Macaca mulatta: one gene and its partners. The protein of the gene in region 4 binds, or shares a complex with, the protein of the main gene of each other region. Links are inferred from orthologs where the notes say so. Each region holds a gene or a part of one and is shown on either strand. Other genes may lie near its edges. The genes, in order: DRC1, DRC12, FBXL13, TCTE1, IQCG, DRC7 and IQCD.

Region 1 (3,964 bases), on a different chromosome or scaffold from region 4:
ATTTAAAAATCCCTGCGGTGGTGATGTAGAATATTCTTGACTAATTCCCCCATGACAATGTGTGTGGGAATCACCGGATTCCACAGCAACCATGGAAATGATGTGCTTCCTGACCCAATGGAGCGTCACCTCCTAGCCAGGAGCCCTCCTGGAGTATGACCCAGAGTGGGCTGTGATAGCTGCTTGGAATCACTTCCTCTGTTGACTCCTGGGCCAGAGTCTGTAGCCTAACAGAGGGAGACGGGACAGAGGCTGGAGACAGCACGCACGTGGCAGTTTTATCGAGTTTCTGATTCCACTTGATTGCCTTCCCCATTCCTGCATTTCACTCGGGAGAGGCAGGAGCATGCCAGCCTCCAGCCTTGCCTCTCTCTGATCTTTTTTTCACAAACTGTCAGGGTGATCTTTCTACAGTGACTGGACCAACCATTTTCCTTCCCTGCTTAACATTTTTAGTGGTCCTCCCTTGACTTCAGGATAATGCTTTAAATTCCTAGCTTGGGAAGGCTCTGCTGCTCTGTCAGCCTCATTTCTGACCATTCCTTGCCTCGTGCCTCACATCCTAAACTTCTTGTGGTTTTCCCAAAGCCTCATATATGCTATTTCCTCTCTCTAGAGTGCTCTCCCTTCCGGTGTCACCTGTGTAACTCCAGCACATTCTCTAGGTCTCAGCTAGACACACCATCTTCCAGGGATGATTTCCCTGGTCCCTCAAGACCAAGGACAGTGCTCTTGTCATTGGTCCCATAATGGTCTGGGCTTCCCTCTATCTTGCCTCTTATCCCTAGCGTTTGTTTATCTGCCTCTGTTCTAGACGGGTCAGGACTATGCCTTTCTCACTGGTGTTTTCGCAACGGCACCTCAAAAAGTATCTCACACAGATTAGGCACACAATAAGTATTTGCTGAATGAATGAATACAGCTAATGGAAATCCAAAAAGTAAGGATGACTGTGTCTGTCCTTTTAAATGAACCTGGGTTGCTAAACACTAACACTTCCACCCTGGAAGGTCAAAGTGGGGGAAATTTCAAGTTTTTGTGGCCGTATTTATTTCTATGGTGTTTTTAGCGGGGCTACTCATATTTCTGAAGGGTCTGGAGAAAGTTACCGGAGTTAGTTGGACTTGAAAGCTCTGTGATCTTTCTTAGGCGTTAGGTATACAGATTTTAGTTTACAGTTCATTGACTTGTATTTTATCTGGTTGACCTTTAACTTGACTCTCATGATAGATTTTCTAAGAATGCAGGCTGAGGCACTTGTCCCTAAGGTTCCTCTGACATGACTTGAACAATTTATCAGAAGCCTACAAGCTAGGGCCAACTAGTGTGTGAAAATATATATATATTTGTATTTCAGAGCATACCTTTATTTGTGTACAATTTTAGGTATAATTCACAGGGCAGATAAGCTTATAAATGTAGGAAAGTTTATTTTTGTATACTTCCAGTATAAACTTCTACCAATACTTTTACCTCTTTATTCTTTATGAATGTAGGTACAAAGATAAATACATCTGAATATGGAGATGCATAGTTAGGTAAATAAACATACATAAGCAGGACTATGTAAGTATATCTATGTAAATATTTACCTATACAAAGCATGTTCCCCAAAAGACATTTTAAATACGCTAGTGTATATAATACTAAGGATGCAGGTGTAGAGTTAGTGTGTGTGTGTGTGTGTATATATATACACATATACATAGATATATATATAGTTTTTTTAAAATTTTAGATTCTTGAGCAGCAGCTTCAGCAGAGGAAAGCAATTTATCAACTAAACCAAGAGAAATTAGAGTACAACTTGCAGGTGCTGAAGAAGAGAGATGAAGAAAGCACAGTGATTAAATCCCAGCAGAAGAGGAAGATCAATCGGTAAGCTAGCATGCAGAGCGTCTTTCTTCTGGGCTCTCTGTGCTGAGAATAGGGATGGATATGTACTTTTTTCTATTGAAGGGGTAGAAACCATTAAAAATATAACCAACACTTATTAAAATAGTTTTTTGGAGAAGTTAATACATTCAAGTGGTTCCCCTTCTCTCCCCAAGAAAAGAGAACATAGCAAAAGATTTTCCATCCCCATTCATCTTGTTCCTCTTTCCCACCTCTATAACCAGTTTGTCTCTTCCAGAATTTCATTAGGCATATACAAGCCCACACAAATATTCTCATCCCCCATCTGCTTTTACGCAAATGATGGCAGTCTGTACACACTGCCGTGTATCTTGAAGACCTTTCCATCCCAGTTCATAGAGAGCTTTTACCGTTTGTTAAGCTGCTACGACCCACTGTATAGATACACTATGATTTATTTGACCAGTGTCTAATGATGGACATGTAGATTGCTTCCAGCCTTTTTCCCTTGCAAATAATACCAACCTAAGTACTCATGACATGTGCCAGTTTGCTTTTGTGGAGATACCATGGCTCATTGAAAGGTACCTATTGCTTGAAATTTCTCACACATCTTCCCTTCTTCCTTGTCTCCTTAGTCCCATCCTTCCTGCCTTTCTTCCTTTAGGAATTGCATTCTAAGTTTCAGACCACTGTGTTAGGCTCTGAGGACCAGAGTGGAATAAGATTTCTTGCTTGTAGAAGGAGACAAGATTGAGGATTTCCCTCCAAACCCCAAATAGCCTATTATTATTTATGAATTCTTCCACTTGTGGGTTGGTAATACGTACATTTTGGACACATGTTGAATGTATAGACGAACATCAGTTGACATTTTGGTAGTTACTTATCACAGAAAATGATACTGAATAAATGGGATGGCATCTTAAGCCTGATTATCTGAGAAACAAGAATAGTCAGGGGACAATATTTATGAAAAAATTCCCACTATATAAGCCCCATACTAGATAGGGGAACATCCAAGAAAGACACACATCAAGACAGTGAGGAGGCACCTGGGAAAACTTCCCAAAGAAGTGAAATACTGGAGGGGGTGGGGACATGAACTGGCAAAAGGCAGTTAAGAGGAGACTCCAGGTGGACAGTGCTGGCAGCTGGGAATGGCTGGTCTGAAGGCAAGGAGGTAGGATTCAGGAAGTCCCACAGTGGGTGTAGAGAACGGGTAAGGTGGGAGGCGGGAGGAGGCGCTTGAGGCAGAGCTTGGGTTTGATGCGTGTGGCTGAGAGATGAGTGGAATCTTCCCTCTTATTTCAAACTCAGACATCTTTCCCTCAGCCTGAAAAACCCTTCAACGGACCCTGCCATTTCTAAGCACCATCTTTTCATTTCTTGCTTTCATTGCCATTTTCCTTTCCTCCTCATCACCACCCAACATTTCATAATTTGACATATCTGTTTGTGCTGCTATAACAGACTACCTGAGACTGGATAATTTACAAAGACGAGTTTATTTCTCACAGTTCTGGAGCCTGGGAAGGCCAAGATCAAGGCTGGCAGGTTCAGTTTCTAGTGAGGGCTGTATCTTTCAGAGGGGAGGGACGCTGTGTCCTCACTCAGCAGAAGAATGGGAGAGCAAGCTGGCCTAAGGCTTTGGGAGGCCTGTTTTATAAGGGCCTTAATCCCATAATCCCATTCATGACGGGGGAGCCCTCATGGCCTCATTACCTCTTAAAGGCCCCACCTCTTAATATTATCACATTGACAACACTGAATTTTGGAGGAGTTACATTCAAGCCATAGCAACCTATGACCCCAGGATTGTACAAAAACTTCCCAAAGTAGGATACCAATGATGCCCTTCTAGCCAAACGTAGTGACTTCTCCTCAGGCCTCATCCTATTATGATTGGATACTGGGTTTTCTTCTTCGGTTTAAGTGACCCTAAAATATTTGCCCTTCTTTCTTAATTTATTTGTTTCCTTTGGTGGTTCTGCTTTTCCTTGCTTGATATGTCTTGAGTATCTAGATAAGGTAATCTAGAAGACCCAGGCCTTACCATTGCTTTTAATTTTTATTTCATCTGCCACACACCTCAATCTCATGGTTT
Region 2 (4,107 bases), on a different chromosome or scaffold from region 4:
CCCCCACTTCCTGCAGGCCCACCTTCTAGCAGAGGGTGTGGATGGAGGCCTCAGGCAGGTTCCTGAAGGAGTCTGAGGCTCCAGAGGATGTCATATGGGAGTTTGGAGAGCTGTGTCCCAGGGATGAAGGTGTGGCTGTGGGTCTGGCTAGGATTGAAGCCATCTGGACCTTTTCTAGATATGACTCCAGGACACTTGAGTGTAATGCAAAAATGTGGAGACCAGCTATGCCTGTCTTCTGTGGGTGCCTCAGCATTGCCGGAGGGTGGTGCTTGGTCACCGTTGCATTTGTTATAGAAGTGGCCGTTCCCCATAAATCTGACTGCCTGTGTTTGTGTTGGTGGGGGTAAGGGGCAGTGGTGTGAAGGGACCAAAAGGGCCTCAGGCTCAAGGGGTGGGATGCGGCTTCTGCAGGAGAAAAGGTGAGACCTGGTCAAATTTCTTTCCTATCACTGAGTCTCAGGGATAATGGGTCAACCCAGAACTGAGATGTCTGCATGAGAGCCACTCCTAAAAATAAACAAAACAAAAGAAAAAAACAACAAAAGAAGAAAACTAAATAAAAATAAAAATAAAAAAGATCCACTCCTCTCTGCCAAAAGGCCAGAGCCCACAGCTCTACTGAGTTCTACATCAAGACACTTTATTGCTGGCGCCTCAGAGAACACTAGAGACTAGGGGCTGATGGCCTCAAAGATCCAGGGCGGTGAGTCCAAACTGGCGTAGCTGCTCCTTGTGCCTGGCATGGAGTCTCAATGCCGTCCCATCCCACTGTGACTTGATGGCTCTCAGCTTGGCCAAGAGCCTGTCCAGACTGTCCTGCAGACATCAATATTTCAGCCCCCAGGAAGAGACAGGGAAGGAGTGAGGGCTGCCCCAGGTTGGTTTGTAAGCTTTCCTTGCCCAGTAGACATGGTTGTATCCCCTCTCTGCCCTCAGGATAGAGCGGGGCTCCCTTGGAGATACTTCTTCTCCTTACCCCTGGGTTGTCAGTCATCACACTAGCTGGGGTTTGTGGGCATGGGGGAGTCCTGGGTACTGGGATGACTGGGATCCAGGAGGTGGTGCTTACCTGTAAGATTTCCTCATACTTTGCCTCCATGTCTGCCACGTGGGTCCGAAGCTGAGACAGGGCCTGGTCCCGCTCTCTTAGAGCTTGTTCAGCCTCTTCCCGGGCAGCCGCAGCTTCCTTTTGGCATGCCTCTGGGGGCAGGCAGGATGAAAGACAGCAGGATGGTGACACTCTATCCTTGACCAGTCTCCAAAGGTATCTGGAAAGGAGACCTTGAATGGGCTCATTCCAGACTCCCCCAGCATCACCAACTTTCCTGCAGTCCCTGTAAAAGCTGAAGCTCCACTGAGGTGTAGCAGAGAATGGTGGGCTTGAGACAGAAGGCTCCAAAGTCGGATTACTACCTAGGTGACCACAGACATGTCTCTTTCTGAGCCTCAGTGTCTTCATCTTTTTATTTATTATTTATTTATTTAGATGGAGTCTCACTCTGTCACCAGACTGGAGTGCAGTGGCATGATCTCGGCTCACTGCAACCGCCGCCTCCTGGGTTCAAGCAATTCTCTTGCCTCAGCCTCCTGAGTAGCTGGGACTACAGGCACATGCCACCACGCCCAGCTAATTTTTTAATTTTTATTAGAGACAGGGTTTCACCATGTTGGCCAGGATGGTCCCTATCTCTTGACCTCGTGATCCGCCCACCTCAGCCTCCCAGAGTGCTGGGATTACAGGCGTGAGCCACCGCAGCTAGCTGGTGTCTTCATCTTTAAAGAGAGAATGACACATCTCTCAGGGGTATGCTGTGACCTTTAAACACGATGATGGATGACAAAGCACCTAGCTAGTATACAGGAAGTGCTCCGTAAACATTGATTCATTGGCCGGGTGTGATGGCTCACGCCTGTAATCCTAGCACTATGGGAGGCCGGGGAGGGCGGATTACCTGAGATCAGGAGTCCTGGCCAACATGGTGAAACTCCCATCTCTACTAAAAATACAAAAATTAGCCAGGCATGGTGGCACACATCTGTAATCCCAGCTACTCGGGAGGCTGAGGCAGGAGAATGGCTTGAATCTGGGAGGCAGAGGTTGCTGTCAGCCGAGATTGCGCCATTGCACTCCAGCCTGAGCAACCAGAACGAAACTGCGTCTCAAAAAAACAAAACAAAACAAAACAAAAACAAAAAACAACAACAACAACAAAAACAATTGAGTTATTGATTGACTTGGAATTTGAGGTAAAGCAAAGATTAGGAAAGGAACCCAGGGTCTGAATGGCAGATAAGCAGCTCCTGGCCATCTATAGCTAAACCAAAGGCTTTTTTTTTTTTTTTTGGTCGGAGTCTTACTCTGTCACCCAGGCTGGAGTGCAGTGGTGCGATCTCGGCTCACTGCAGCCTCCGCGTCCTGGATTCAAGTGATTCTTCTGACTCAGCTTCCCAAGTATCTGAGATTACAGGCACATGCCACCATGCCCGGCTAATTTTTGTAATTTTAGTAGAGACGGCATTTCACCATATTGGCCAGGCTGGTCTCGAACTCCTGGCCTCAAGCAATCCTCTCGCCTTGGCCTCCCAAAGTGCTGGGATTACAGGGGTGAGCCACTGAGCCCGGCTGAAGGCATTTTTAAGGTATGAACACTTTGGGACCAAAATTGTGCAAGAGCTCATGTGTCATGCTGAGATATTTCAACATTATTTTGTAAGCAGGAGGCAAGAGAAGAGAAGCAATGGCTTCCTAGTTTTTAAAAATATTTTTGCTTATTGGGAGTGTTTATTCATTTATTTAGTGAACAGTTATTTAGGACCTACCGGGTGCTAGGTCTTGTAAGTAAATAAGTCAAACATTTTCCCTTAGTTTCGTTGTAGAAATCAGCTAAACTAAAAGGGAATATGTTTTGCTCACAAGAGACATGGCAGTGGTGGGGAGTTAGGTAGGGCTGGACTTGGAGAGGAGGAAATGGGGTGTGACGCCTACCTCTTCTTTTTTATTTTTATTTATTTTTTTGAGACAGAGTTGCTCTGTCGCCCAGGCTGGAGTGCAATGGCGCGATCTCGGCTCACTGCAACCTCTGCCTCCCGGATTCAAGCAATTCTCCTGCCTCAGCCTCCCGAGTAGCTAGGATTACAGGTGTGCGCCACCACATCTGGCTAATTTTTATATTTTTAGTAGAGACAGGGTTTCGCCATTTGGCCAGGCTGTTCTCGAACTCCTGACCTCAGGCGATCCGCCCGCCTTGGCCTCCCATAGTGCTGGGATTACAGGCCTGAGCCACTGCGCCTGGCACCTCTTCTTTACTTACAACAGAGATTCTTGGCATCCCGAACCCTCTGCTCCAGTCCTCGATGGTGGAGGGTCAGTGAAAGTGGGGAAAGTGATCCCAGAGCCCGGGTGGCAGCTTTCTGGAGCAGAGACTTTGAAGTCTGCCCCTTCATGCTGGCCCTTGCTGCAACTCTTGGAGACAAGGGGCTTGGGGGGTGGGGAAACCTACCTAGCTGCCCCCGAAGGCCCTTGACTTCTTCCTCCAGCTGCTTGCTGCGGGATTGCATATCCTCCTGCAGGGCATGGCACTGGCGACTCATCTCTGGGGTGGGGGCAGTAGGCCGCCAGGGACCCAGGTCGGAGATGGAGCGATGGAGAAAGGAAATGAAGTTGTGGGTGGGGAAGACTCTACTTGGTCTAGTGGAACAGGAGCACAAAGGCCTTCTTGGTTCTTCTTTTTCTTTTTTTTTTTTTTTTTTTGAGACGGGGTCTCGCTCTGTCGCCCAGGCTGGAGTGCAGTGGTGCGATCTTGGCTCACTGCAAGCTCCGACTCCCGGGTTCACCCCCTTCTCCTGCCTCAGTCTCCCGAGTAGCTGGGACTACAGGCACCTGCCACCACACCCGGCTAATTTTTTGCATTTTTAGTAGAGACGGAGTTTCACCATGTTAGCCAGGATGGTCTCGATCTCCTGACCTCGTGATCCGCCCGCCTCGGCCTCCCAAAGTGCTGGGATTACAGGTGTGAGCCACCACTCCCGGCCCATGGTCTTCTTGGTTCTTTTTGTGATTCTGAGAAGCTAGAGACCATGAAAACCTGAGGAAGGGAAAGGAAG
Region 3 (3,964 bases), on a different chromosome or scaffold from region 4:
CCAAAGTGCTGGGATTACAGGCGTGAGCCACTGCGTCTGGCTGGGATTCTTGTTCTTTAACTTAATAATTTAAAATTTACTTCAGCTATTAGTATATCATTTCTTAATATTGGTTTAGTATGTTCAAAGTAACACTATGATCAGACATAGAAACATGCTGGATTTTTTTTCTGTAGTTACATTATTTAGTAGGAGATATTTTATTAATATTCTTTGAAATACAAAGTAAGGGTAAATAGGAAAGAGAATGTGGGGTGAAGTTAAATTCCCTTCTTTTGTGGTTGCCCCATGGATCAATGCCCCCACTCGCCTGAATTTGGTTCAGATGTTGAGACCAACAATAGCACACACGCAGCAAAAGAGTATGAGGAGATTTATTACTTATGTATGCTTAAGACAGTGCTAGAGCCTGTGCTGAGTTTTAAGCATCTCAGAGGTTACTTGAGATGCTCTCCAGAAGTTTATAATGTGTAGGTTTTGAGCTGATGGTCTTGTATGCTGTCCTGTAGGCTTTGCCTTTTGCACACTACCTTTTCAGTGTTACCAGTGAAACAGCTGTACTTTGGGTACCTAACACTATATTAGTCTGCTCATTCAGTGCTTTCCACCACTCTGTATTATTAAGCTAGTGTTTTGATCACTGCCCTCTATGCCTGATCACTGATTGTCTAATAGTGAAATAGGTAACAGTACATGACCAGTCCACCCCTGTACACCTGCTTCAGCTAAACATCCCTGAACATAAAAATTAGCCAGGCATGGTGGCAGGCCCGTGTAATCCCAGCTACTTGGGAGGCTGAGTCAGGAGAATCTCTTGAACCCTGGAGGTGGTGGAGGTTGCAGTGAGCCGAGATCACGCCACTGCACTCCAGCCTGGGCAACAAAAGCGAAACTCCTTCTCAAAAAACGAATAAACCGAAAATCCCTGAGAGCAGGCAGTGTTGTTCTCTTAGTAGTCTCTGAATGCTGAGCATGATGTTTTGCACACAGTTGATATATATTAATATATATAATGTATATTGTATATACTATAATATTGTTAAGATATATGTGTATTATATAGTTAATTGTGTGTTTAGAGAACATTTTTTCTAGATACATGATTTATTGACCTAACAATCATTCTACATTCCCTTAAATGGAGTGAGGCTGGCAGGGGTATGCTGGGAGCAGAGGCAGGGAACACCTGTGTGTCAAGCGCTCCACATGTGTTCTTCCTCAGGCTCTAATATGTGTGTGTATATACACACACACACATACATACACACATATATATTACATTAATATATATTACCCCAATATTGTGTGTATATGTTTATGACTGAAATACTTACTACCTTTGTTTATTACACAGTTTTCAGAAGTGTATCAAGAGTTAAAATGGGGACTTCCTGTGATGATAAATTTGGCAATTTCCCAAATACATTACTTCTGACTTCCCTTTTTTGTTATCCGTATGTTAATCACCTTCACTCCATGCACCAATTACCAGTTTTATCATTGCCAGAGCCTTGACTTTGTGGTCCTCACTTCCTCATCTGTGAAAGAGGGGACTAGATCAGCCTTTCAAGGTGGCTGCCTGTGCCAGTGTTTTATGACAACTAATGGAAATGATCTGTAATACTTTGGTGGTTCAGGGAACGTTAAACATGCTTATGAAAAATTATAGTTGTGTAGTAATGATGACAATCATAAATAATGTTTAATTTGTTCTATTCTTGTGTCAAGCACTGTGCTTTATGTCTGTCATCTCTCTTGATCGTTACAGCAATTGCATGGAATTTTAAAATTATTTTCATTGCAGATACTAAAACATGAACTTCAATTGAAAAAATGGAAAAATAGGTTAATACTCAAAAGAGCTACTGCAGAAGAATCCAATTTTCCTGAACAAAGTTCTTCTGAAGGCTCTCTTGTAGATGAGACTCTAAAATGTGACATTTCACTGTTACCTGAAAGAGCGATATTGCAGGTTTGTATGAATACACTATACATTATATACTATAATCTGCCAGGTGTGGTGGCATGTGCCTGTAATCCCAGCTACTTGGGAGGCTGGGACAGGAGAATTGCTTGAACCCAGGAGGCAGAGGTTGCAGTGAGCTGAGATGGTGCCATTGCACTCCAGCCTGGGCGACAATAGCAAAACTCAATCTCCAAAAAAAAAAAAAAAAATATATATATATATATATATATATATATATATATGTATACATATAATCCTACTGTTGATATATTGCATTCAGTTAGAATAAGGTTATTTTTGCCCATTATTTCTTCCTTTACAAATTACCTGTTCCTATCTTGTCTGTTTTTACATTGTAATTCCTATAATTTTCTTACTGGTTTGTAATAGCTCTTTATATTGGCAATATTAGCCCTTTGGAATATATTTGGAGATTTTTTCCCCTACACTTGATGTTTGCTTTCAGTTTTGCTTGTGGAGTCTTTTGGTGACAGAATTTTTTTTTTTTTTTTTTTTTTGAGATGAAGTTTCACTCTTGTTGCCCAGGCTGGAGTGCAATGGCGCAATCTTGGCTCACTGCAACCTCCGCCTCCTGGGTTCAAGCGATTCTCCTGCCTCAGCCTCCAGTGTAGCTGGGATTACAGGTGCCCACCACTACGCCCAGCTAAAATTTTTTCTATTTTTAGTAGAGATTGAGTTTCACCATATTGACCAGGCTGGTCTCGAACTTCTGACCTCAGGTGATCCACACACCTTGGCCTCCCAACGTGCTGGGATTACAGGCATGAACTACCACGCCCGGCTGATGACAGAAATGTTAAATCTTTGTGTAATAAAGTCTGTCATCCTTGCCCTAATTATTTCTCTCTCTGTCTCTTTTTAACTTTTATTTTAGGTTCAGGGAGTACACGGAAAGGTTTGTTATATGTAGGTAAATCGCGTGTCATAAGAGTTTGGTGTACAGATTTATTTTGTCTCCCAGGTTATAAGCCTGGTATTCAATAGATACTTTTCTGATCCTCACCATCCTCCCACTCTCTACCGTCAAGTAGATCCTGGTGTCTGTTCCTTTCTTTGTGTCCGTATGTACTCAGAAGTTTGGCTTCCACTTGTAAGTGAGAATGTGCAATATTTGGTTTTCTGTCCCTGTGTTAGTTTGCTTAGGATAATGGTCTCCAGCTCCATCCATGTTGCTGCAAAGGACATGATCTCATTCTTTTTTATGGCTGCATAGTATTTCAATGTATATATATATATACACACCACATTTAAAAAAATCCAGTCTACTGTTGATGGATATTTAGGTTGATTTCATATCTTTGCTATTGTGAAGAGTGCTGTGTTGTCCATATGCATGAATGTGTCTTTATGGTAGAATGATTTATATTCCTTTGGGCATATACCCAATAATGGGATTGTTGGGTTGAATGGCAATTGTGTTTTATGTTCTTTGAGAAATCACCAAACTGCTTTGCACAATGGCTGAGCTAATTTACATTCCCACCAGCAGTGTGTAAGCATTGCCTTTCTCTGTAACCTTGCCAGTATCTGTTATTTTCTGATTTTTTAATAATAGCCGTTCTAACTGGTGTGAGATTTACATTTCTCTAATGATTAGTGATGTTGAGCATTTTTTCATATGCTCATTGGTTGCGCACATGTCTTCTTTTGAGAAGTGTTTGTGTACTTTGCCCACTCTTTTAATGGTGTTGTTTTTTTCTTGTAAATTTAAGATCCTTATAGATTCTGGATATTAGACTTCGGTTGGTGTGTAGTTCACAAATTTTTTATCCCATTCTGTAGGTTGTCTGTTTATTCTGTTGATAGTTTCTTTTGCTGGTAGAAGCTCTTTTGTTTAATTAGGTCCCATTTGTTAATTTTTGTTTTTGTTGCAATTGCTTTTGGCATCTTCATTATGAAATTTTTGCCAAGTTCTATGTCCAGAATGGTATTTCCTAGGTTATCTTCCAGGGTTGTTATAGTTTTAAGTTTTACATT
Region 4 (3,934 bases):
CTAAGTAACTGTATATTAACCCTAAGCGTATTTAACTCTAAATATATTTAAGTATATAACTAAGTATATTTAACCCTACTTTCTAGATGGAACACTAAGTCTGAGAGGATTATGAATTGCCCAAGGGCATCAAGTCAGTAGAAAGTGGCAAGGCTGTGGTTCAAATCCAAGATTGATTGAAATCCTGAGTCCTTTCTAATAGACTGTATCTCTCAAACTTTCTTAACCAAGTCTAAGAGTAAGAAATGCAACTTATGACCAGGCACAGTGGCTCACGCGTATAATCTCAACCCTTTGGGAGGCTGAGGTGGGTAGATCACATGAGGCCAGGAGTTTGAGACCAGCCTGGCCAACATGGTGAAACCCCATCTCTACTAAAAATACAACAATTAGCCCAGTGTGGTGGCATGCACCTGTAACCCCAGCTACTCGGGAGGCTGAGGTAGGAGAACTGCTTGAACCCAGGAGGCAGAGATTGCAGTGAGCTAAGATCATGCCACTGCACTCCAGCTTGGGTGACAGTGCAAGACTCCATCTCAAAAAAAAAAAAATGCAATTTACATGAACACCAACATAAACATAATTTTGAAATTTATGACGTGATATATGCTGATATTTTCCTTTACATTCTACTCTATTGTATTTTTAAATGCTTCTGTGACCCATTAAATTGACTTTGCAACACACTGCTGGGTCACAACCACAGAATGGTGGCATTCTGCCTCCCAACATGAAATTCTTTCACATTGGGGCTAGCCCACCCAACCCAGCAGGGGTTGGAGCTGTGATGACCATTGAGCGGGGCCCTCCGTTAGGTCACTGAACCCTCTGCTAAACCTCCCCATGAGAACCTTGCTCACCTACACAGGCACATACACACATGTGCATGCACACACACACACATACACACACACACACAGACACACACACACATTTTCTAGAGGGGGTGCTGTTGACTGCAAGTAATAAAAAGCTTAACCAGAAATGGCCTTAAGCAGGAGGAATATTCAGTGTCTCCCACAACCAGAATTAGAGGGTTGTAGGGTTGGTAAACCCCTGGGTTCAGTGCCACCCTCTGCTCTGCCCACCCCAGCCTCGTGGCTAAGGCCTCTCTAGTGCTTCTCTCGGTCCCAAGATGGCTGCCACAGTTCTGACATCTCACATAGGGACATGCCCAGAGGCAGAAAACAGGAGAACACCTGCTCCCTTTTCTTCTCTTTTTGGAGTGAGGAGAACCTTCCCAGAAGCCACCCCCTCTCAGCTTCCCCCTCGCATCTCATTAGAGTTGTCCCACATGCCCATGGCTGAACCAAAGGAATGGAATTCTCATCATTGCCAGAGATTCATGTTTTTCAAGCTAGTAGGGTTGAGAAATCAATTTAGTGGGTATTGGCTACCATTTTTCAAATGGAAAAGAATAGAATATGTCAGCATGCGTCACAAAAAGGTTAAGTATTGTTTTGTGAAACTTTATGTTTTAGTCACATCTACATGAAAATGTGTAGTTATGTATGTCAGATCCTGGGTAGTGATGTATATGACCCCTTCCTTTGCACCCTTCTCCCAGGACGGTGGGAAGCAGCTCCTGGAAGGCATGTCGGACAACAAGACCCTCCTGGAATTTGACTTGCGCCTGTCAGATGTGGCCCAGGAAAGCGAGTACCTCATTGGCCAGGCCCTCTATGCAAACCGAGAAGCAGCCCGCCAGCGGGCCTTGAATCCCAGCCACTTCATGTCAACCATCACTGCCAATGGCCCTGAGAACTCTGTGGGATAAAATGACCTGACTTGGATCATGGCCCCAGCCCTGTCCCTCATTTCATACCCCTGCCATGCCTGCTGCAGACTATCACTCTGGTTCAGAGGGAGCAGGGAGGGGGACCGTGAATATCCTTGGAGTGATCAAGGGTTGTATGGATGGAGACATGAGGCAGGAAAGGGAGACTGGCATGGGGGAAGAAAGGGTATGCAGTAGGAACCCAGCCCCTGTGCCCAGGGAAAGGATATTACTGAACCCCCACAAATGACCAACTTCTTCCAGGAATAGGGAAGTCAGAGAGGTGTGTGAGGGACTGTGCCTGCCAGATTCTCCCACGGGGGCTGCCTGCCTCCCTGACTCCCCTCCCCACCATTTTCTTCTCTACCAAACAGATCCTTGATCTTCAAACACGCACGCACACACACACACACGCGCGCACGCTCTGGCTACAGCAGACCTATGTCTGGCTCTCTTTGCCACCCTCAGCCCTGTAGATGCATTTCCCTGTTGCTTGACTCTGCTTTAGGTGATCCAGTTCTATAGGCCACTCCATCCCCTATTTCCCCAACCCCCAACCTGGGACGGGGACAACGAAATGACACCAGGGACTCAGACCCAGTGGCCTCCTCTGGGGAGGCAGCTGTAGATGACGACTTCCAGGGAAGGATGACACGATTCCTGCCACCCACCCCAGAGAGCTTCCCTGGGAGGGAGGGAAAGAAGTGCCACACTGGGACAGGAAGTCAGTGAGTCATCCACAACTTTATTATCCACCAGTTTGATTTGTACAATCTTTGCGCTTAAATCCACGACAAAAAGGCCACAGTGTGATGCACCCAATTGACAGAGACCTGTCTTCTCCCCAGCCAGGCCCAGCCCACCCCACAAGCCCTTGTCCCCAGGCCACATGGAGCCTTCTAGGTGCCCTCCATGAGTCCCCATCACTCTGTAGCTGTCCACCCTGGGGCCACACCTACAGGAATCACATCAGCCCCCAGGACCACAAGAGACCTAGCTGACTGATTCAGGCTGAGCGCCATTCCCCATCCTCCTCAGGCTGATTGATTGGCCCAGAGCCTCCAGAACTGTGTCCCCAAAGGGCAGGTCATGGGCTACAACCCCAATCCAGGAGTGCCTGCTCTCCAGGGACTCCTTCCACTAAGCAGACGCTAAGCAGAGCACCAAAGGGGGCTTGGGAGTGACTGCATGTGTATGCCTGTCTAGGCAACCTAGAGTCTGTGTGCCTGACACCCTCTGACAGTTCCAGAGTGCAAACGTGTAGGTGTGAGGGTGTGTGTGTGTATAGCCACAGCTGCTAGCAGAGGTTCTAATTAGAGAAACAAGAACATTCAGTGTAAAGTTTAATTTTAGAGATTAATTTTCTGGTTTTTGTTTTCCCTGGCAATCAATAAAGCTACCAAGAAAATAGACCAAAGAATTGGTTTCTCTCTAAGTCTGTGCGTGTGTGGGAGATGAGGCTGTCTGAGACGACCTAGGCAGAAATGGTCAATACAGGCAAAAATAATAATAGAGGTCCCCCCTTCCCCTCTTCTGAGACCAGGCTCTGTCTCAGGAACAGGCCTGAGGGAGGAGGAGCCATGTTCCTCCTCCCCTGGAGCCCTGAGGTGGCCAGGCTGTCCCCACACAGAGCATGACATCCGGGTGCCAGCTGGCTAAGAAATGGAGCCTGAGGCCGCAGCTCACCACCTGTACCTCACAGATGTCCATCAGAGGAAAGAAGGGTGCTCCAAATGCCAGGCCCCCAAGGAGCACAGACTCGGGATCCAGGCAGGTTCAGTGCTGATAGGCAGGTGGGCACTACTGCCAGGGAAACCTGGTGGGCAGCCGTTTCCCCTGCCCAAGCCTCTCTCTCTCTAGTCTCTTCTCCCTCCTCACTCAGCCATCTCTACCTGAGAGTAAAGCTAAACCCTTTAGAAGCCATGGGCCATGGTATCCCCACAATTTGGGCCCCTCTCCCTAGGAAGAAGGGAAGGGGAGCCAGAGGTGATGTTGCATAGGTGGAGGCCACACAGTTGGTGGTGCAGGCCTGGCTGGGCTGGAGGAAGATGACAGGGGCTGAAGGAGGGGAAGGAGGAGTTCTGATGGCTCAGGCGAATGTAAGCAGCATCAGGGGTGAGAGATGTGGGTGGCCCAAGGGTTATCCTCTCTAGCCTG
Region 5 (4,412 bases), on a different chromosome or scaffold from region 4:
GGGAAACGTATTAGGGACCAGGACTCTTTCTCTTATTTTAATCCAAATTAAAAGAGAGAAGTGCAGGGTTCTGTGGGAAACTTTTTTTAAAAGAATTGAGCCAAAATGCAGTGTCATGATAAAAGCTGCAAAAAAGCTATAAACTCCGAAGTTAATATTTTGGCTCACTTGGTTATGAAGAGTATGCATGTAACATTTTGGGAAATTACCATAAAAATGAGTGTCTTTAGATTTCTGGACTGAACTGAACGTGTATGTATCAGCATGCAGCCCTGCCCCCAGGTACTCTCCCTCCTTTTCTCAAGGAATATGGATTATCGTGGACCCACCTCTGACCTAAATACTGTGAAGGAATCAAAGTATGAAACACAAACCTCATCCCACGGAACCTTACAATTTAACTGCAAAGGCAAGATACGCCTAAAAAAAATAAGCCATTACCACATAGCAGTACTTGGTTAAATGCTAGGAGGGAGTACAGATACGATGTACTTTTTAATGAAAAGAACATTCCGCTGTGGGAGTTTCGGCAGGCTGCCTTGAGGTTGGGGAACTTGAAATGAGACAAAGTATTTAAGCAGGGAGAAAAATGGGACGGGAGGCCGGCAGGCACTTCCAGAGCAGAGGAATCGGGTAAAGCAAACAGAGTGACGACACAACGTGAAAAGAAACCTGAAGTTTGTCTCCAGTGAGCCCCCAACATCCCCCCAACGCCTCTGTCTGGCTCTCCGTTCAGTATCTTCCCGAAACTTCAGGTCAGCGGTTCCTAAAGTGGTCCCCGGACAAGCATACATCACCAACCAGCTGGGAACGTAAACTGTCAATCTGGGGACTCATCCCAGACCCACTGAGTCACTAAGTGGGGGACTGGGGGCGGCAATCTGTGTTGGACCGTGTGCGTCGGGTGACTGTGATGCACGCTCAAGTTTGAAAAGCACTCCTCCAGGGCTACTGCTAAGCACAACCCTCCGCACCGAAGTGATACTGTTCTGAGCGCCTAACAGCCAACTTGCAGGGTGTAGGGAGCTGAGAGCGGGTCCCAGGCCTGTAAGAGTTCAGGCTCTGCCCCGATTTCGCTTTCTCATCCAGGACACCTTCTCCCAGTCACTACCTCCTACGCCTGCTCCTTCTGGACGACTTTACCCTGACAGGGCCCGCTCCCGCCCCTGTCGCCCTACCTCAGTGTCAGAGGGGACGTGGTGCCGGCAGGGAGGGGAACTGCCCAAGGAGACGGGAGTAGATGTGGCGCTGGCCCGGAGCCCGCCCAACAGGAGTAAAACGCTTCGGACCCACATAGACCCGCTCCAGCGCCACCGGCTCCGGCCCGGGCCTGAGCCTGAGTAACCCGCTCCTCCTCCCCACTCGGCCGCCATCTTCGGGCCGAGCGTCGTTACCATGGAGCGCGTGACGCCTCTGCGCCCGCGCCGGCCCCGCCCCTCGCCGCTCGGGGCAGACGGAGGCCCCCGCCGGCGGAAAGGTGCTTTCCGATTGGACAGCGTCACCCGCTGGAAGTTCGCGGCAGAAGATGAGGGCGGCGATCACGTCCATCGCGTCTCGTTGCGCGAGGCCGGCCAATAAATGCCGTTTGGAGGCCCACGTGAGTGGGGCTGTGGGAGGAAGAAGGGCGCGCGGGCGTTGGCCGTGTGTGGGTGTCTGAGGCAGTTTTCCAGTTCTTTCGTTTACCAAAGTGATATGCACCTACTAGGTGCCAGGTGTTTGGACGGACATTCAACCCTCTGCAGAATCTTTCAGTGTAGTCCTCTGTAGGAAAAGGTGAGTGGAATACTTTCATTTACTTATCCTGAGTCACCAACTTTAGGCGCTTTACTTGACTAAAGCCATTTCCTGTAAAAATCAATGATACACACTTTACTATTTTACTCAACTCCATCTTTTAGTTTCCAACCAAGAATTGCCACTGCACCTGAGATAAGGGAGATCCTGGGAGCCGTGAGGAACTACACAAAATGGGAAATTGGGACAAATTCCAGTGGCTCATGACACTAAGAAGTAAAAGTACGAACTCAGACACTGAGCTGGAAGTCATGCAACGGGAATTGAATAGGTAAACTACTATACTGGGAAATGAAGGGGTAGGAAAGAAGGAAAACTTCAAGTTACAGACTGGGTGGAGATTACGGACTCAGATATGAGGATGGGGTGGTGTCTTAAGTATTACCATTTTACAAGTGAATAGTCACTAAATAATGTGTGTATCATCCCACAACTAGTGGAAGGTGGGATTCCAAACCACATTTGTAACTTAGGAAACGTGCCCTTTCCATTACAGTACCACAAATAAACTGCTGTTGTGAATAAAGAGTGGAACCAGTCATCCTAAGCTCCTGGCTGTTACAATAGTGTTACGCTGAGGAAAGGCTGTTTCTTTTTTTTTATTTTTGAGACTGACTTTCACTTGTCGCCCAGGCTGGAGTGCAGTGGCGCAATCTCGGCTCACTGCAACCTCTGCTTCCCGGGTTCAAGCGATTCTCCTGCCTCCGCCTCCCGAGTAGCCGGGATTACAGGCGCCCGCCACCACTCCCGACTTTTTGTGTTTTTAGTAGAGACGTAGTTTCACCACGTTGGCCAGGCTGGTCTCAACTTCATGACCTCAGGTGATCCGCCCGCCTCCGCCTCCCAAAGTGTTTGGGATTACAGCCATGAGCCAAAGCTGTTTCAATGGCATAGTGAACAAAATACCAGCCACGCAAGCCCTTTCCTGTAAACCACGGGACTTTGGCAACGGTGACTTAAGTACTTTTGACTTAATTTCGGTATGGGAGCAGAAAAAATTATAAATTTATTATTTACAAATGCTGCATCATCTCGGTAAGGAAGAGCATGTATTTGCTCGAGTCTCATTTGCCATTGCACATATAAGTTACTCGAGTTACCCTAAAGTCTCAACCTTTTGTTTTCCCCGCTTTGCTCAGATGCCTACCACTTACTGTGTAAGCACCTCCATTCCTTTCATCTATTCTACTCAGAATACCATTCACTTCTCCATATGCCTAAACCAGACCTGAAATACCCATCAGTCTTCATGGATATGTCGATTAACATCTTACCGCCTCCTCAAATTCAACTTTTGCTCCTCCCACAAAACCATCCCCTGGTTCCCCAGCTTTGCAAATGCACCATTACCCATCCAGCCCCCATAGCCAGAAACATGTTAGAACGTTAGCCATTTGAGACTGAAAAGCCCACCTGATTTTCCCTTGTTTATACTGGGCTGCCACTGGGATGTAAAATGTTAATCTGAGCTGGACATGGTGGCTCACACCTGTAATCCCAGTACTTTAGGAGAACAAGGCAGGGGGATCACTTGAGGCCAGGAATTAAGAGACCAGCCTGGGACCCCGAAAAAAAAATTTAATTAACTGGATGTGGGTGGCATGCACATGTAGTCCCAGATTCTCTGGAGGTTGTGGGCAGAGGATTGCCTGAGCCCAGAAGTTCAAGGGTGCAGTGAACTATGATCACACCACTGCAGGCTGGGCAACAGAAACCCTGTCTCAAATGAGTAAATTTTAAAATTTCCTGTGAATCAAGTTCTTCAGTGACATTGTTACTACACACAAGAACAATCTTAAGATCCTCAGTACAAGAGACGTCTTATGTGGCATTTCTGAGTTTTCTGGACTTTCCAGTCAGCTACTTGTATTCCTAAAATCTTCCTGCCATTTCCTGAGATGCCTCCGTATTTCTTCTACACTTTATAGTTTTATGTTATGTCAGGATACCCACATGCCTCTATCCCTAAATACCCCAAGAGTACTGATCACATCTATTTAACTGGCACAATGAACACAATAGGTACTTTTAGCTTATATTGGCCTTTTGGAGTGGGTGTCCAAGATCAGCACTTCCTCCCGCTGACTGCGTAATTCCCAAGTTCAATTTCATCAGCATTCTAATATACAACTTCCAACTTTTGACCATGAAAAAGTATGGCTTACTTCTGGTGAATACAGCATCAATGCACTTTGTTTGCCTTAAAACCACAATCCTAATAAATGAGCCTGGCAGAGCATTAATAATAAAAGCCCCTGTCCATGAAACATGGGACTCCAACAATGGCAACTTTGGCCTACATTCCACCATTGGACTGACCGAACCTTTCTTACGACTGCCGATGTGACAGAGGGACCTCTGGGAGAGGACTTCTTGTTTTCTCTTGCGTCAGTATATCTCATTACTCTCTTAGTAGGTTAGCAGATTTGTAACAGGATGGTTACTAGAGGAAGGGGAAGCGGAAAAGCTGGGACAGTATTCCTACTCTTTTCCCTTACTACATTTTCCTTCTCAGTCCTGCCTCCAGGAGATGAAAGACCAAATAACACAACAGCCAATGTGCTCTTCCCACGCAGTCCTTTCTTTCACCCTCTTTCCCTAATACATTTCCAGCATGT
Region 6 (4,390 bases), on a different chromosome or scaffold from region 4:
ACCAACACCACTGGGGCATCCCTGGGAGGCCTGGGAGATGGTTTTGGGGAGGTGTAGAGCACATAGGAAGGCAGTGATTCCCTCTTTGACTTCCTTTCAAACATGGAGAAGGTCTCTGTTTGGTGCTACCCCATCTGTAACACCTTTCTAATCCTGGCAAATATTCCTTTACAACAAAGACAAAGCAGGCCTCCGGCTGGAAGCCATCATCAGGACAGGACAGGGCAGGACACATGTCAATTTGCTTTAAGTATATTTGACAGTTATCCTTTTTTAAATTTTTTATGTTTTTGAGACAAGGTCTCACTCTGTCACCCAGGCTTGGAGTGCAGTAGCGCAAACATGGCTCACTGCAGCTTCAAACCCCCAGGCTCAAGCAATCCTCCCACCTCAGCCTCCCCAGTAGCTGAGACCACAGGCACGCACCACCACACCTGGCTATTTTTTTTTTTTTTTTGGTAGAGACAGGGTCTGGCTATGTTGCCCAGGCTTAAACTCCTGGCCTCAAGTGATCTTCCTGCTTTGGCCTCCCAAAGTGCTGGGATTACCGGCATGAGCCATTGTGCCAGCTGACAGTTATCAATGACAAGTACTGCTAATGCTGTGGGTACTACTATAGTATTGTCACATTTCCTATTTAAATAAATGAATTGGCTGTGTGCGGTGGCTCATGCCTGTAGTCCCAGCACTTTGGGAGGCTGAGGCAGGTGGATCACTTGAGGTCAGGAGTTCGAGACCAGCCTGGCCAATATGGCGAAACCCCATCTCTACTAAAAATACAAAAAATTAGCCAGGCATGGTGGTGCACACCTGTAATCCCAGCTATTCAGGAGTCTGAGGCAGGAGAATCACTTGAACCTGGGAGGCGGAGGTTGCAATAAGTCGAGATCACACCACCGCACTCTAGCCTGGGCAACAGAGTGAGACTCCATCTCAGATAAATAATAAATAAATAAATACATGAATAAATAAATTGGTTTAAAGAAAATCCTAACAGTAAGGTAATATGGACTACAACCCACCCAAAAATGAAGACAGCAGGTGAATGATATCTCACCTGACCAAATTGGGAACCAAGGCACAGAGAGTGAAGGTGCGTGCACCAGGGCACACAAACAGGAAGTGGGGGGTGGGGTAACAGAGCCTGCTCTCTCTTGGCCAAGGCCTGTGTCGGCCCAGAGAACAGGCTTCATTCTGTGATCCACGCAGAGACGCCACATGTGTTCACCATATGTCCTGCGACCACAGAGCAGAGCCTCACTGAGCGGGTACTGCTAGTCACCTACCCAAAGATCCAGTCTCCTCTTCTATACGGCAGAACCCCAGTTGTGTGGGGTCAGCAGTGTGCCTGGTTTGAATTGCTCAGCTTCCCAGATCCTCTTGTAGCTAGAGGTGGCCCTGTGATGTGACCTGGTTCTGGCCAATGAGATGTGGGCAGAAGTTATCGGGGCACCCTCTGCCCTTCTCCTCCTCCCACCTGGAATGTGGAGATAAAGTGGGAGGTGGGGCAGCCCAGGTGAGACCATGAGGTGACCACACATGAGGGCTAAAGTAGCCTGCTAAGGATGGCAGGGCCAAGAGACCGGGGAGCTGTGGTGCCACAGAGGACTGGAGTGCCACCTCCAGCCTTTCCTTATATAAGAAATGTCAGCCTCTATGGGGGTCCCTGATCCACACCGCCCAACGCCACCCCAGCTGATCCAGCCTCCCAGCTGGGGTCTTTCTATTTCTCTCCTCCAACATCTGTTTTCCTTATAGTAAACAGGGGTCCAGAGAGGAGGAAAACAAAGGAAACCCACAGGACAAAGGGCGCGAGTAGTGAGGAGAAAAAAGCAGAATCCCCTCGACTTTGTAATCATCCCCCACTTCCCTGGGTGAAGCCAGGAACAAGAGGGCAGAAGGGAGCAGCAGATAAAGGCTGGCCCCATTCCCCACACCACACCCACGCGGGCCGCCTCGGCCTCTTAGGGAGGTGAGTCACTGGCCACCAGCCAGGACTGAGCCCGGTTGGGGAAATCCTGGCTTTGCCAATAGCTCCTGCTGGACCCTTGGGTCACTGTCTGCGCCTTTCTGTGCCTCAGTTTCTCTTTACAATAGGAAGGGAGGGCAGATATTTTCTGTCCAATTCTGACATTCTGTGTTCTGGGACTCAGGAGGGGATGAATGCTCATCTGGCTGGAGCCCACCCAAGCCCAGGTGGGCCAACAGCATTCAGGACCCCAGATCCTCAGGGGAGAACCTCTAGCCAAGCAGCACTTCCCAGTCATCAGATCCATTTATCGGCCTCTTGGTCCCAGAGAGAATGAGCACAGGGAGGGCAGTCATCACCATTACAAGGCACTTACAGTTTGCTGAACGCCTACTGTGTGCCAGGCCCTGTGCTTAGGGTTGTACGGAGATCATCTCACTTATCCTCTACTGACTCTGTGAGGCAGACACTTAGGACACCCGCTTTGCAGATGAGAAGACTGGGGCCCAGAGAGGTTGAGTGCACTGCTTAAGGTCACAGCTAGTAAGTAGCAGGTCTGGGATTTGAGCCCAAGTATTTCTGGTTGTGAAACCTGTGCATCTCAGGCTAGAAGAGATGTGAGATGGGGAAGTGCTAGAAGGGATGGTGGGGGAGTGGTGGGCAAGGAAAGAAGTAGGATGAAGAGAAAGCCAATGTGTCAGTCCCAGAACACCATCAGAGGCAGAGCTGGGGAGAAGAACCCACAGCACTTTATTCCCTACACAGGTGGCCTCTTCAGCTATAGCCCAGTGTGGGGAAGGCAGTCTTGTCTCAAGGTTCCCTAGATTGGGCCCCAACCCACAGGCCCTTTCCTGTACCCCCTTTCCACCAGCAACTTCCTCCTCCCAACACACATGAACACACACACACACACACACCCCAACAACTTCCCCAGAAAGATCAGGGCTGGAGGCCCCCAGGCAGAAGGAGGCCACCAGCCTCGCCCTCTCCCTGCCAGACAGGGTCCAACCACCCCAAGTCCCTTGCTCCCTCCTCACCCCTCCGAGGACAGCCTGCGCTAGCAGTTAGCCGTCTCCATGGTAACAGCCTGGGACGCTGAAGGCCGGTCCTGGGAGAGGAGGCTTCTGGGAAATGTAGTCTTCCCAGGTTGCATGGGTCCTTGGGCCAGCGGTGCGCTGGTATAGCGGGGCATCAACGTGCTAGTTGTTAACCTTTTCAAAATGGTTGTGAAACACAGCCATTATTAAAAATTAAAAGGGCTGGGCACGGTGGCTCATACTTGTAATCCCAGCACTTTGGGAAGCCGAGGCAGGAGAATCCTTTGAGCCCAGGAGTTCAAAATCAGCCAGGGCAATATATAGTGAGACCTTCTCTTAAAAAAAAAAAAAAAGGCCATGGGGTTATTTACACCACAAAAATTAGCAAATGCCAAGACCAGGGCTTTTCCCCTGAGCAAGCCAGTTGTTAAACATCTACCAGCACACCGCAGCCCCTGCCACACGGCATGCCGAATGTGGCCGTGATCCAGACAGACAGAAACCAGTGTGGGGCCTGGAGTAGCTGCCAGCTGTGGTGGACAGAGCCACGTTGCCTTGACTGAGTCCTGGGTTCTAGTCCAGGCCGGGGCTCTGATGTAGAACATTACTTCGAAGTACGGGGAAAACCTATCCATTAGGCTAGTGGCTCGTGAAAATGTTTAATTTCTTTTAAATTCAGAAGAAAAAAATAAGAATAATAATGACTATATAACTATGAATCTGCCCTGAATTATATTTATGTTTGTACTAATATAGTTCTAAAATATAATCTTTACTGTTTTATTTTTGGAGGGAGGGGTGCCCAGGCCTTTTTTGGTTAGGGGATAGGGCTGCCAGGAGGGAATCCAGACTGTCACTGTGCTGACAAGGTTGCACAGTTAGTGTTACCGCTAAAAACTTAGGAATTGCCTCAGTTCTCATGAATAGAGAATGATTTTCCCCCTCCCGGTTTGAATATCATGCAGCCATAAAAATAAGCTGTAAAGGATCAATTGCGCTGTGGAGAGCTCACCAGAGGGTGTGTGTATTTCAGACTTGGGGCTAAGCAACTCATAATTACCTCTGTGGGGAACTGGCTGGGATGAGGGAGGGAAGTGAGGAGGGAGGAGAAAGGAAAACAGGTGATGTGTTATGCTGGTGGGATGCAGCATAGGCTTCATTTTCTTTTTTCAACCCCATGCAATATTTTATTCCTTTTACATATTTATTCATTCCTTTTTCTCTCCATACCCACTTTCATTTCCCATCTCTATAAGGCAAGAGTTCTGATGCGTATTTTTTTTTTCCAAAATGAGTATTATTTTGCATGCTGGTATTTTAAATATATGTTTAATATGAGACTGAATGAATATATCCTTCTGGTTCTTATATTTTCATGAAGGGC
Region 7 (3,964 bases), on a different chromosome or scaffold from region 4:
ATGAAGGTTTTGGGTTTTTTTAAGAGACAAGGTTTCACTCTCTTGCCCTGGCTGGAATGCAGTGGCGCAGTCATGATTCACTGCAGCCTCCAAACTCCTGGGCTAAAGTGATCCTCCTGCCTCAGCCTCCCAAGTAGCTGGGACACACATCACAGCGCCTGACTTATTTATCTTTTATTCTTTGTACAGACAGGGTCTTGCCGTTGCCCAGGCTGGAGTGCAGTGTGTGATCACAGCTCACTGCAGCCTCCGCCTCCTGGGTTCAAGTGATCCTCCCACCTCAGCCTCCCAAAGTGTTGGGATTACAGGCATGAGCCACCTTACCCGGCCAGAAATGATATTTATTGAACACCTACTATGCACCAGCTCTCTCACCACCATCTCATGTAATTCTCGTGTAACAACCATTAAGACCAATGTTAGCATTTTCATTTCCAAGGTGTGAAATCGGCAGCTGGGCAGGAGTTGAGTAATTTGCCTGAGCTTCATGTGCTACTTCTTCATTCCTTTGCATGGCACCCAGCCTCTGAAGATGTGGGTATTATCCCTGTGAGGTCTGAGGAGTTGAGGAACTTGCCCAAGGTCACAAAGCTGGCATGTAGCAATGCTGGGACAGGGTCCCAGTTTCTCTATCCCCCATCCCCAGGCCTGTGTGTTGCCCCTTCCTGCCTCCCAGGAGACATTGGCTCGGATTTGGGCCTTCCCTGCTCCTGTGTCCTTCCCCTCCACCACGCCACTTCCTGAGTAGCTGGTGCAGCCCTGCCCTGCCCAACACTGCTGGACCTCCAGGAGTGATGGGACAGTCCCACCCATCCCCCGCCCCAGGGGCCCCACCGGCCCATCCTCCCTGCTTCCCGCTTCCCACTTCCCGGGGCACCTTCCTCAGCGCCTGCTCCGCCTCCCGGTTCTCCATGACCAGGTTGTAAAACTGTGACTGCAGCTGCAGGATCTCCTGCTGGATCTTGGCTACCCTGGCCTGTGATGCCCGGAAATCGGCTTTCTGCTGCTTCTCGGCCTCCTGCTTAGTGCGAAGGAGGCTGTTCTCTGAGAACTTGAGCACCTGGTGCAAGTGGTTTTTCAGTTCTTGGATCACAAAGTTCTCCTTTTCCACCTGAGCCAGGAAGAGAAAGGGCTCTGTTAACACCTCCATGCCCAGCCGGGCACAGTGGCTCACGCCTGTAATCCCAACACTTTGGGAGGTTGAGGCAGGTGGATGACCTGAGGTCAGTAGTTTGAGACCAGCCTGGCCAACATGATGAAATCCCATCTCTTCTAAAAATACAAAAATTAGCCGGGCATGGTGGTGCATGCCTGTAATCCCAGCTGCTCGAGAGGCTGAGGCAGGAGAATCGCTTGAACACGGGAAGTGGAGGTTGCAGTGAGCAGAGATATCACACCACTGCACTGTAACTTGGGTGACAGAGTGAGACTCCGTCTCAAGAAAAACCGTCCATACCAACTGACAGTCACCAGAGGCTGGCACCACTGCATCCTCCCTCGGGGCCAGGCATGCCACCTGGGTTATTATCTCTCTAATCACACCCCCAACTCCGCAGTGGAGGTCAGGGACAGCCTGATTACAGACAAGAAAGCTGAGGCTCAAGGAGGTGGCTTCATCTGTCTGGGGTTGCCCAGCTCAATGGGGTCCTGAAGCCAGGTTTGTCTGACCTCGAGCCCACGTTCTTGGCCACCACTTTCTATTTCCTTGCACAAATGAAGGGTACAAGCTTGTTGGATTGAGGCCACCGGGGAGGACCGGGACAGCAGTGATCCTCCTCCTGGGGACACAGGAGGGGAGGCCCAGCTGGCAGAGACACTTGGTGGGGTGCATGAAGGTGTGCGATGAACACAGGCTGCAGGGATCACCACCAGGCTCTCTCCTGAGGGCCTATGCCTGGCTTGTCCCCTGCCTTGGGTGGATTCTCGAACAGGAATGGGGGTGGAGGATGAGACAGTTTTGTAAAGAAGCCCTCAAGGCTTCTCATATACACTAGAGTCTCCCTCTGAGCACAGTGGTGCTATGGCTGCTCACGTCACCATCTTGGGCTTGGGTCAGCTGGCAGCAGGCCTGCCGGGCATCTGCTCACCTCCTGCACACTGGGGGCAGGAAGGCAGCGCCTTTGGGGCAAGCCCATCCTGCAGGCAAGGCTTGAGGCACCAGGAGCTCGGAATATGATCAGCAGTCAGAGCTCTCCTTGTAGACTCCCCACACGTGCCTGATTGGTGTCTCCCCTCATTGTACACTGAGGTTCAATGACATGAAATTTGTCCACCTGGCAAAAATGGCATTTGACCCCAGGTCGGTCCAAGGTGAAGCCCCAAGCTGGTTCTAGCACCTGAATGAGACCAGCAGGGCCACCTGTGTCCCTCTGCCTATTCCTAGATGATGCCCCTTCCACCTTACAAGTAACCTCACTGCCCGAGGGCCCAGCAGCCCGTGCTCTGTCCACTCAGCAAGTATACATCATGCCCCTCCTTTGGACAGGCTTACTAGGGACACAGTGGCAGGCTGAAAGAGACAAGGTCCCCTTTTCTTGTGGAGGAGCCAAACCTCTCAAGACCACACATATCACACACAGATATGTTATCCACAAAGTTGGGTGAATGTTACCAACAAAGTCAGATGAATGCTTTAAAGGACAAATTCAATGAGAAGTGCCCAACCCAGCACCAGGGAGGAGGGTAGTGAATAGTTTCCCAGGACCTTGAACCTCTCATCAGTGGTGGGGGATAGAAACAGAAGGGCCTGTGACAGTGCAGCCTGGCTACCGCCCATGTCTGTTCTCCCCAGAAAGGCTGTGGGGTAGAATGTGGAACATAACACGGCCCGGTGACAGGTGGTGGGTCCTTCCTAGCACCTCTCTCTGCTGGGTGTGGCTACAAGATGTGCATGGAAGTTCTGTGTGCCACCTCCACATGTGTCCTTAAGGGGCAGAACCAAGCCCTCTCCTCCCCTTTCCTCCTTCCTGTTGGCTGGACCGGGGGCCACATGATGGGGAAAGCTGGAGCAGCCATCTTGGCCCACAGGCAGAAGTCCTACGTGGGGTCAGCAGGAAAGTCACATTGAAGAAGCCAGATCTCTGACAACTTGGGGAGCAGAGATGCCACACCAGCTCCGGTATTTCCACTACAAAGAAATATATTGCCGTCTTAACTAAGCCAAAGCTATTTTGGGTGTCTCTGTTATAGCAGCCAAATCTGTACTCACACATCATCTCACAGGATTTTTGTAAAGATTTAGAGAGAAAATGTATGTAAAACAAATACACTGTATGTGTCCAATATGACAATTATTATTAGGTTTGGGATCATGCTACCGTTTCTTTTTTTTTTTTTTTTTTTGAGATAGGGTCTTGCTCCGTAGCCCAGGCTGGAGTACAGTGGTGCGATCTCAGCTCCCTGCAATCTCTGCCTTCTGGGCTCAAGTGATCCTCCCACGTCAGCCTCCTGAGTAGCTGGGACTACAGGTGTGCACCACCACACCCAGCTAATTTTGTCTTTTATGTGGAGACGGGGTTTCACCATGTTGCCCAGGCTGGTCTCGAACTCCTGAGCTAAAGTGATCCACCTGCCTTGGCCTCCCAAAGTGTTGGGATTACAGGCGTGAGCCACCACACTCCCATTTCCCTTCTTAAAAATTCTTCTAGCTGGTGTGATACGCCTATAATCCTAGCTACTCAGGAGGCTGAGGCTGGAGGATCCCTTGAAGCTAGGAGTTCAAGACCAGCCTGGGTAACAGAGTAAGACCCCATTTCTTTCCTTTCTTTTCTTCTCACCCTTTCTTTCCTTTCCTTTCTTTCTTTCTTTTAATTGAGACAGAGTCTCACTCTGTCACACAGGCTGGAATGTGATGGCACGATCTTGGCTCGCTGCAACCTCCACTTCCTGGGTTCAAGTGATTCTCCTGCCTCAGCCTCCCAAGTAGCTGAGATTATAGGTGCCCGCCACCATGCCCAGCTAATTT

What was found.
Region 1: TCTE1 (region 4) and DRC1 share a complex: the UniProt entries of both Homo sapiens proteins name them as parts of the nexin-dynein regulatory complex. The link is inferred for Macaca mulatta from reciprocal best matches to the Homo sapiens genes DRC5 and DRC1.
Region 2: TCTE1 (region 4) and DRC12 share a complex: the UniProt entries of both Homo sapiens proteins name them as parts of the nexin-dynein regulatory complex. The link is inferred for Macaca mulatta from reciprocal best matches to the Homo sapiens genes DRC5 and DRC12.
Region 3: TCTE1 (region 4) and FBXL13 share a complex: the UniProt entries of both Homo sapiens proteins name them as parts of the nexin-dynein regulatory complex. The link is inferred for Macaca mulatta from reciprocal best matches to the Homo sapiens genes DRC5 and FBXL13.
Region 5: TCTE1 (region 4) and IQCG share a complex: the UniProt entries of both Homo sapiens proteins name them as parts of the nexin-dynein regulatory complex. The link is inferred for Macaca mulatta from reciprocal best matches to the Homo sapiens genes DRC5 and DRC9.
Region 6: TCTE1 (region 4) and DRC7 share a complex: the UniProt entries of both Homo sapiens proteins name them as parts of the nexin-dynein regulatory complex. The link is inferred for Macaca mulatta from reciprocal best matches to the Homo sapiens genes DRC5 and DRC7.
Region 7: TCTE1 (region 4) and IQCD share a complex: the UniProt entries of both Homo sapiens proteins name them as parts of the nexin-dynein regulatory complex. The link is inferred for Macaca mulatta from reciprocal best matches to the Homo sapiens genes DRC5 and DRC10.

What each region holds. Positions count from the first base shown.
Region 1 is NC_133418.1:98,567,170-98,571,133, reverse strand, and holds part of DRC1 (dynein regulatory complex protein 1), read left to right. Parts: intron 1-1,738; coding exon 1,739-1,878; intron 1,879-3,964. UniProt on the Homo sapiens protein: Component of the nexin-dynein regulatory complex (N-DRC) a key regulator of ciliary/flagellar motility which maintains the alignment and integrity of the distal axoneme and regulates microtubule sliding in motile axonemes.
Region 2 is NC_133419.1:119,879,296-119,883,402, forward strand, and holds the end of DRC12 (dynein regulatory complex protein 12), read right to left. Parts: intron 3,683-4,107; coding exon of another isoform or gene 3,597-3,682; coding exon 3,504-3,596; intron 1,272-3,503; exon of another isoform or gene 1,204-1,271; coding exon 1,073-1,203; intron 820-1,072; coding exon of another isoform or gene 815-819; coding exon 668-814; 3' UTR 622-667; downstream 1-621. UniProt on the Homo sapiens protein: Component of the nexin-dynein regulatory complex (N-DRC), a key regulator of ciliary/flagellar motility which maintains the alignment and integrity of the distal axoneme and regulates microtubule sliding in motile axonemes.
Region 3 is NC_133408.1:142,726,136-142,730,099, reverse strand, and holds part of FBXL13 (F-box and leucine-rich repeat protein 13), read left to right. Parts: intron 1-1,804; coding exon 1,805-1,972; intron 1,973-3,964. UniProt on the Homo sapiens protein: Substrate-recognition component of the SCF (SKP1-CUL1-F-box protein)-type E3 ubiquitin ligase complex.
Region 4 is NC_133409.1:137,835,333-137,839,266, forward strand, and holds the end of TCTE1 (dynein regulatory complex subunit 5), read left to right. Parts: intron 1-1,567; coding exon 1,568-1,777; 3' UTR 1,778-3,185; downstream 3,186-3,934. UniProt on the Homo sapiens protein: Component of the nexin-dynein regulatory complex (N-DRC) a key regulator of ciliary/flagellar motility which maintains the alignment and integrity of the distal axoneme and regulates microtubule sliding in motile axonemes.
Region 5 is NC_133407.1:975,358-979,769, forward strand, and holds the start of IQCG (dynein regulatory complex protein 9), read left to right. Parts: upstream 1-1,517; 5' UTR 1,518-1,773; intron 1,774-1,898; 5' UTR 1,899-2,065; intron 2,066-4,412. Other genes in the region: LMLN (leishmanolysin-like peptidase), read right to left, coding at 1,179-1,397. UniProt on the Homo sapiens protein: Component of the nexin-dynein regulatory complex (N-DRC), a key regulator of ciliary/flagellar motility which maintains the alignment and integrity of the distal axoneme and regulates microtubule sliding in motile axonemes.
Region 6 is NC_133425.1:53,304,472-53,308,861, reverse strand, and holds the start of DRC7 (dynein regulatory complex subunit 7), read right to left. Parts: upstream 3,074-4,390; 5' UTR 3,007-3,073; intron 1,417-3,006; 5' UTR 1,287-1,416; intron 1-1,286. UniProt on the Homo sapiens protein: Component of the nexin-dynein regulatory complex (N-DRC) a key regulator of ciliary/flagellar motility which maintains the alignment and integrity of the distal axoneme and regulates microtubule sliding in motile axonemes.
Region 7 is NC_133416.1:120,444,528-120,448,491, forward strand, and holds part of IQCD (dynein regulatory complex protein 10), read right to left. Parts: intron 1,112-3,964; coding exon 878-1,111; intron 1-877. UniProt on the Homo sapiens protein: Component of the nexin-dynein regulatory complex (N-DRC), a key regulator of ciliary/flagellar motility which maintains the alignment and integrity of the distal axoneme and regulates microtubule sliding in motile axonemes.